Xenopus tropicalis: one gene and its partner. The protein of the gene in region 2 binds, or shares a complex with, the protein of the main gene of each other region. Links are inferred from orthologs where the notes say so. Each region holds a gene or a part of one and is shown on either strand. Other genes may lie near its edges.

Region 1 (3,754 bases), on a different chromosome or scaffold from region 2:
GGTAAACCTAATGTTCCAGGATTTTTGGCTTTGGAATGTAAAGTATGCCGTATTCTGCTGTAATGCTTTGAAAATTTAGTAATTTACTGCTGGGAGTTTTTGATCTATAGAAGTCAGAAATCTCAATAAAACTATACACATCAGGTATTGGCACGTTCGGGAGACATGAGGCTTTCCAAATCAGTTGAATTTTTGTCCATAAAATAAAATATGTTTCTGGTAGAAATCCTTATATCATGAAAAATAGCATTTTTTCTTTTTTTTTTTGTATTTCAAGCTCTAAATCTTGTTCCAGAAGTGGAAATACACAAAAACTCAGGTAGATTTGGAAAGCTCAGGTTCTCCTGAAAAAAACAATATATAGTTTGCCTACCTAAACTTAACCCTGCCCCCAGTAAAAGCCCCTACATTGAGAGAGCACAGAATGTTTACAAAACGTCTGGCACTGGGGGGAACTGAAATGACGAATTCGGCTGGCACTTAAAGGGTTAAACCTGCACAATCAGTATCTGCCCGATTTCAGGCCAGATATTGGTAGGGCAGGCCCGTCGTTACTGCCCATACTCGGCCGTTAAGCTGCCAAATCGGGACCGATATCGACAGCTAGAATCAGCCCGTGTATGGCCACCTTACTACCCCACGCCCAGTGAAGACACATTACACATGCCCTCAGGGTATCAGCTACACATGCTGTAATGATCCCCAGGGAAGAGAGTCTACTGGGGCTGACAGCTCTTTGTCAATAGTTGGTAAGCCAAAGTTCTCACCAATAACCGCACATCTGCATTTTAATGCCACCTATTGTATAGCATGTACCAGGGTTGGCGGGATTTACTACAGTAAAGGAAACGTGGAGTCTACAAAACACTACGAAACAAAGCAGAGCTCATCATTTACCTCGTTTCCTCAATACTGAGTAAGATGTGTAATTACAAATTTAGCAAACATGACACAATCCAGCCACTGGTAGAACCAATCTACACAATCCCGCCAATTAATATTGTGAGGTGCGTCAGCCGAACACACCCTGTAAGATTTCCAATCACGCCTTCCTGTCAGTCAGACTCTAACATTCGGCATCACACCAACATCACGTGGTGGTGGGTGACGTAAGAGGAAGAAGTCGCCATTAGAGACTAAGGCGGATAGAAAGCTCTTGAACCTCTGGCCTGTCACATATTAAGTTCCACTGACAATTGTTAGTCGTGTTGACTTGAACTTGAGGGGCGCGTCTCTAAGCGGTGCCAGGAGCCCGGTGCTGCGTGATTGCTTCGGTGCGGCCTGGGCTCCTTGTGTCGGTGGCCTTAGTGGCTCGTTTGGGTCCATGGCGGCGGCTGGCGGAGGTGGAGGTGCGGGGGTCAGCAAGACTTACTCGTTCAAGGTGGTGCTGCTCGGAGAGGGCTGCGTGGGGAAGACTTCGCTAGTTCTGCGTTACTGTGAGAACAAGTTCAACGACAAGCACATCACTACCCTGCAGGTGTGAACGGTGGCATTGTCGTCAGGCGCTCATATAGGGGGCAATTACACTTGTTTATCTCATGTACCAGTGTCAGGCTTTTCTTAGTGCTGCCATATATTCCTTTTATACTTGGAGGCCTAGTTACTAGATCCTGGCTTGCTAGGAATTAGTGTATTAACTAAGTTAGTAAAATGATGTGCAACATGAAATTGTCCAGATGTTTCATCTTCATGCATCCTTTGACAGCTGGTGGCTGTTAGAGCATTCTGAGAGTTGTAGTTTGACACTGCAGGAAGGCAATTTGGGTATTGATGGTTAATTTGCACAGAAATTATTGTATCCCCCAATCTACATCTGAATACAAATTGTGCATGCAGCAAGTGTACTGTACAAGTAGTGTATTGGGATGATAAGATAATCCTGTGCTCTCTGTAGATGCACTACTACCAAAAGCATGAAAACAGTACTACTCCACTAGTTCTACAACAGCCTGGGGCCATTTATTTTATTTTCTCAATATGGAATGTGTATGTCGTTTCACTCTTGTGGGACAGTTAGTTGTATGTCACTTAAATGCACCCTTGTGAAACCATGCTGTAACATAAGCTGGCATTTAGTAGCAGTGATGCTGTTCTCTTGCTACTGTTAAACAAAATGCCCTGTATGTACAGATCATAGAAAGTTTCGTTTATCAACAGGCAGGAAGGTGCAGGGTGAAATGTCATACTGTACAGAACATAAGCAATCCAGCAGTTCACATGACGTGGCTTGAATTTCACTTATGTATTTCAGGTTATCATGTGGTTAAGTGAAAGCTTGCTTTGTACATTTTTCCACAGCTTGCAAACCTCAGTTATTATCTCTGTTTCCAGTATATTCAGATTGGAGCACTTTATTTCTAGGTTTTCTTTTTTTCTCAGTAGTTACCTCCCTAAATGTTAAAATACTATTCTAATCCTGTATTTTTTTTTCATTTAAAATGGTCCTCTATGAACTTTAAATAGCTGCTAAATTTAAATATGTAATACCTGCTTGCAGATAATGTCAAAATAAATGTTTCACAGAGCAGCCTTTACTTATAGAAATATCTATACAATTGTTAAGTTGGTTGCAGTTCTGGTGTCCAGTGCAAGTGCTTAGTTGTTCCCAGCTGACAATGTGTGTTTGCTAAACTGCCTAATTATTGCCACTGGTAGCATGGCAATGGTTCAAGACATTAAAGTGTGTGTGTAATCATATTCAAATAATGTTTAAGCAAAAAGACACTTTAAAAAATTCTAGGGATCTTTATGATAATCTTCTCTTCTAGATGAGGAATGCCCTATTTAATAGTTTTAGGGTGAAGACACACACATAGCTACTAATACAGGTAAGGGATCCCTTATCCGGAAACCCGATATCCAGAAAGCTCCGAATTACGGAAAGCCTGTCTCCCATAGACTCCATTTTAATCAAATAATTCATATTTTAGAATATGAATTGATTTCCTTTTTCTCTGTTAAAATAAAACAGTGCTTTGTATTTGATCCCAACTAAGATATAATGAATCCTTACTGGATACAAAATAATCCTATTGGGTTTAATTTATGTTTTATTGATTTTTTTAGTAGACTTAAGGTTTGAAGATCCAAATTATGGTAAGACCCCTTATCCGGAATACCCTTGGTCCCGAGCATTCTGGATAACGGGTCCTATACCTGTAGTAGCTACTTGTTGTGGCTACTAAAAATAGACAGTGCTGATCATTTAATGATAATTGTCTCTACGTGTGGTTTATCAGAGGCAGTTCTCAGTATTGTCTATGGCAAGGTATTTTCTGGAGTTTAGTAGCTGTGAAAAAGTAGCTGCTACTAGTACCAGTAGTGTGTCTTCACCCTAAAACATCAGTGGGGGTATATAGAAGGTTCTAAGTTTTCCCATGTGCAGTGACCCATTGCTACAAATCAGCATGTATCATTTACTGGTCATCTGTTTAAAAGCAGACACCATATTGGTTACTGCACCTGGGTAAACATAGTGCTTTTTATTATATATGAGGGTTGTCCTCTTATCTGCCATACAAAATGTTAATATTGTACTAAAAACACTGGTATATTGCACTCTATTTATAATTTATTTATTTATATTTTATAATTTGAGAGTGATTGCGAGTAAGTGGCAGTGCTATCAGCACTGCTAAGATGTTTAAAAGAAGAACTAAAGTTTAACTATAGATGTAGGTTACACATGTTGTACATTATGTTTTGTGCTTCTGTACCAGCCCAATGCAACCACAGACCTTTAGCAGTTAAGATC
Region 2 (3,654 bases):
TGTTTTCTTACTGATTGTAAAATTGTAAACCTGTTGCTATTGATTGCGGAGTATTCTTTTTCTGTTCATTTCAGTGATAATGTACCCTGTAATAGGTTAAAAAAAATAAAACTTTCTTTTTACTCTGTATTTTATGTGACAACAGATATAAAAGAAGCAAAATCCCCAAGCCCTTCTCTGAGCCGCCAGTATAGCTTGGAAACTGACCGCGTGTCCAAGGATTTTATTGAGTTTTTAAAGACTTACCAGAAAGCAGGACATGACGTGTACAAAATGTCCAAAATCTTCTTGGAAGCCATGTATCACAAAAGGGTAAGGAATCCAGTATCTGCTGCTGTTAGAATAGTGTTAGATGGCCTTTCAAAACACTTGCCACTACCTGATCTGAACACCTTACATGTGCAACTGTGTATGTGTTTTTGTTTATGTTTTAATATACACAGTTGTCGGAAGTGTGGATTGCAAAAAAAAGGTTTATACAGATTTCAATCCACACATTCCCTTCAAATTACATAGTTAAGTCAGATTAAAAAAAGATCAAAGTCCATCATGTTCAACCCATCCAAGCGATCCCCAGCACATACACATAGACCCATACTGATCTGTCTGTACACTCACATACTAAAACTATATATAACAACATCAATACTAACTGTAGATTTTAGTGTCACAATAGCCTTGGATACTATGCTTGTTCAAGAACTCATCCAGGCCCCTCTTAAAGGCATTAACAGAATCTGCAATCATAACATCACTTGGAAGGGCATTACCCAACCTAACTGCCCTCACTGTAAAGAACCACCTATGTTGCTTTAAAGTTCTGTTCCCCTAATCTAAAGGGGTGGCCTTTGGTGAACTGATGCTGGCACAAACTTATAGTCTTGTGATTTGCAAGTATCCTATCCCTTATTATCCTTTCCAAAAGCTTTCCTTCCACTGATGTCAGACTAACAGGCCTATAGTTTTCAGGCTGAAAATGGGATCCCTTTTTTTAATAAGGACACCACATTAGCAATTCACCAGTCTCGCGGCACTATTCCAGACCTCAATGAATCCTAAATAAATAAGTGAATAGGTTTTGCAATCACAGAGCTAAGCTCGGTTAGTACCCTGGGATGAATACCATCCTGTCCTGGACTTCTGTTTACCTTTACATGTTCAAGTCTCTTTTGAATTTCCTCCTTAGTGACCCATGCATCAGTATGATAAAATATGGTTACATAGAATCTTATGGCCACTTATGTGACACTGCTCGTATAAAAAAATCTTATATTAAGTCTGTTTTAGAGCAGTTTAGTGTGGCAGTGGAGATGCAAAAGAGCTGCACATTTGCTATTCGGGTAGCTCTGTAAATTAAATGAAATCATCACTACTCCAAGACAATTTAGCGCACACAAAGGGAAAACATCCTTTTCAAACAGAATATGCGCTAAAAACACTTCAATTAATTACTGGGGGTTGCCCACCAGTTAATATAATCATTGACCTCAGACAGGTCCCCCTCTGGGGGTGGTACTATTTTAGTGAGCTCCATATTACCAATTGTTGTGCCTCCCAGGGATTCTTGGTAGCTGGTCTGGACTGCACATACAGTACATAGAGTATAATGAGAACTTAGATGCTAAAAGCTGAACTTTTTCTCTGCTGTGCATGCACACAGCCCAGGGTAGCCGCAATGATCCAGCAAGGAAACTAGATGGGTCTGGGTTGCCTAACCTGTGTTTGTATCAGATGACTATTGCTTGAAATCTGCATTTTCATTATGCAAAAACAAGTGTTATGGCAGAATAGGACAAAGTGCTCACCAGTTTGGCTTAAAGGTGAAGGAAAGGCTAAGTCACCTGGGGGTGCCAAAATGTTAGGCACCCCCTAGTGACTTTAATCGCTTACCTTGTACCCCGTGCTGGTGCCCCTGTTAGGAGAAAACAGCACCAGCCCGAGGTGACTGCAGCAAGCACTTCCTTCTGTCGTCAAAATCCCTGTGTAGTAGAGTGAAAAGCTGACATTTTTGTTAAAGTTCGGCTTTTCATTCTACTGTGCAAGTGTGCGAACAAGGAAGAAGAGCTACCCCGGGCTGGTGCGGTTTTCTCCTAACAGGGGCACCAACCCAGGGTAAAAGGTAAGCGATTAAAGTCACTGGGAGGTGCCTAACATTTTGGCACCCCCAAATGACTTAGCCTTTCCTTCTCCTTTAAATCTGACCTTTGTGCAGTCATTCCTTCTGTGTAATGATCAGTAGAATAGATTTACCAGCATCTCCAAAAACTTCTGATTGGAAATAGTCAAGGCAAATACATGGGAAGGAGTCATTTGGTTAAAATTGCCTAAATATGCTAGACCCACTGCTATATAAAATATAGCTTTAACCCATTTATCTCGGGGCTGTTGTTTAAACATGTATTATCGTAGTTGGAACTAGTCTTAGTTAAATGATGCTTCCCCATACACAAGTCTGGGGCCCCTAACAGCTCAGTTTTAGGGAATGCAGAATTTCATTAAGATTGTTATTATTCCAATAATGTTTATTTTATAATACTTAGAGATGCACTGAACCCAGTTTTGGTTTGGCCGAATACCGAACCGAATCCCATTTGGGATGGTTACATTTTACACTTCCTTGTTTATGCACCGCATTAACCCTTCCAAATCCTAATTAGCATATGCTAATTTGGATTCGGATTCCATTTGGACAGGACTGTGGATTTGGCTGAATCTGAACCCTGCCAAAAAAGGCTGAATGCTGGCCGAATACTGAACCGAATCCTGGATTCGGTGCATCCCTTATAATATTTATAACATCAATAATAATCACTATATTCTTACCTTTACCATCTCAATGGATCAGACAGTGTAGCATATTTTTGGTACATGATGGATTAGCCTGTAAAAGTAGTTCTTCCCAGTTGTTCACAAACAATCCTTTCAACTTACTACATTGATAGTCCTATTCAGTAAAAATGTTTCCTTGTAGTTAGAAACAGCGGGAGCTAATGTGGGATGGTCCAGGCATGAAGAAGGCTATAAAGGTTGTTACAGGTTTCCCTGGTGAGAAACAGGACTGTATCAATCAAATGGCATATGTCCAGGAGCTGCTGTGACCTTATGCACTTTTTTCACTGGATAACAAAATATGATTTCATTTTTGGTGGTTCTTAATTGGCTAATATATCCTGTATGTCCTTTTTTACTTATCCTAGGAATCAAATATTGACGAACAATCTGAATTTACCCAGGACTTTTATCAAAACACAGCAGAGAAGTTGCAGATGTATTGGAAGGGTAACATTCTTTTTGTTGTGATGATTTTAAAGATTGGAAGCATCTCATCCCAAACCTGGTCTACATTCCTAAATATTTGTGCATTTTTTTAGTAGCTTAAGATAATAAAGGGTGTACTATGTCATGGATTTTTTTTGTTTGTGGAATTGGGTCCTGTTAGAAAAGCTAGTTTTATTATGATTTAAGACAGACTTTAGATTTAGTACTTTAGGGAAGACAGTGATAGTGTATTCATTTCACGCATGAATAAAGTAGTGGTTGTTTAAAATATACTTAGTAAATCTAATTTTATTATGTGGTGGTCACGTCTAACTAAACTCTTGTTTATCAGAGTATCTAATGCATATTTTTTATGGTTAGCAATTCAGAATCTGA

Evidence for each region.
Region 1: the proteins of rabgef1 (region 2) and rab21 are in contact, whole or in part, in a crystal structure (PDB 2OT3), measured with the Homo sapiens proteins. The link is inferred for Xenopus tropicalis from reciprocal best matches to the Homo sapiens genes RABGEF1 and RAB21. Residues at the interface, in NP_001273991.1 of Homo sapiens: Leu253, Cys254, Lys296, Phe299, Asn300, Lys303, Pro309, Ala310, Ser311, Ala312, Asp313, Phe315, Leu316, Pro317, Ile320, Leu347, Met348, Thr349, Gly350, Glu351, Gly353, Tyr354, Tyr355, Thr357, Asn358, Cys360, Cys361, Ala364, Phe365, Ser373; in NP_055814.1 of Homo sapiens: Ser19, Phe20, Lys21, Gly26, Glu27, Gly28, Lys32, Thr33, Leu37, Thr50, Thr51, Leu52, Gln53, Ala54, Ser55, Phe56, Ala71, Trp73, Asp74, Thr75, Ala76, Gly77, Gln78, Arg80, Phe81, Leu84, Ile87, Tyr88, Asp91.

Annotation. Positions count from the first base shown.
Region 1 is NC_030679.2:59,983,020-59,986,773, forward strand, and holds the start of rab21 (ras-related protein Rab-21), read left to right. Parts: upstream 1-1,150; 5' UTR 1,151-1,324; coding exon 1,325-1,477; intron 1,478-3,754. UniProt on the Homo sapiens protein: The small GTPases Rab are key regulators of intracellular membrane trafficking, from the formation of transport vesicles to their fusion with membranes.
Region 2 is NC_030678.2:48,716,535-48,720,188, reverse strand, and holds part of rabgef1 (rab5 GDP/GTP exchange factor), read left to right. Parts: intron 1-145; coding exon 146-312; intron 313-3,197; coding exon 3,198-3,279; intron 3,280-3,654. UniProt on the Homo sapiens protein: Rab effector protein acting as linker between gamma-adaptin, RAB4A or RAB5A. Involved in endocytic membrane fusion and membrane trafficking of recycling endosomes. Stimulates nucleotide exchange on RAB5A. Can act as a ubiquitin ligase.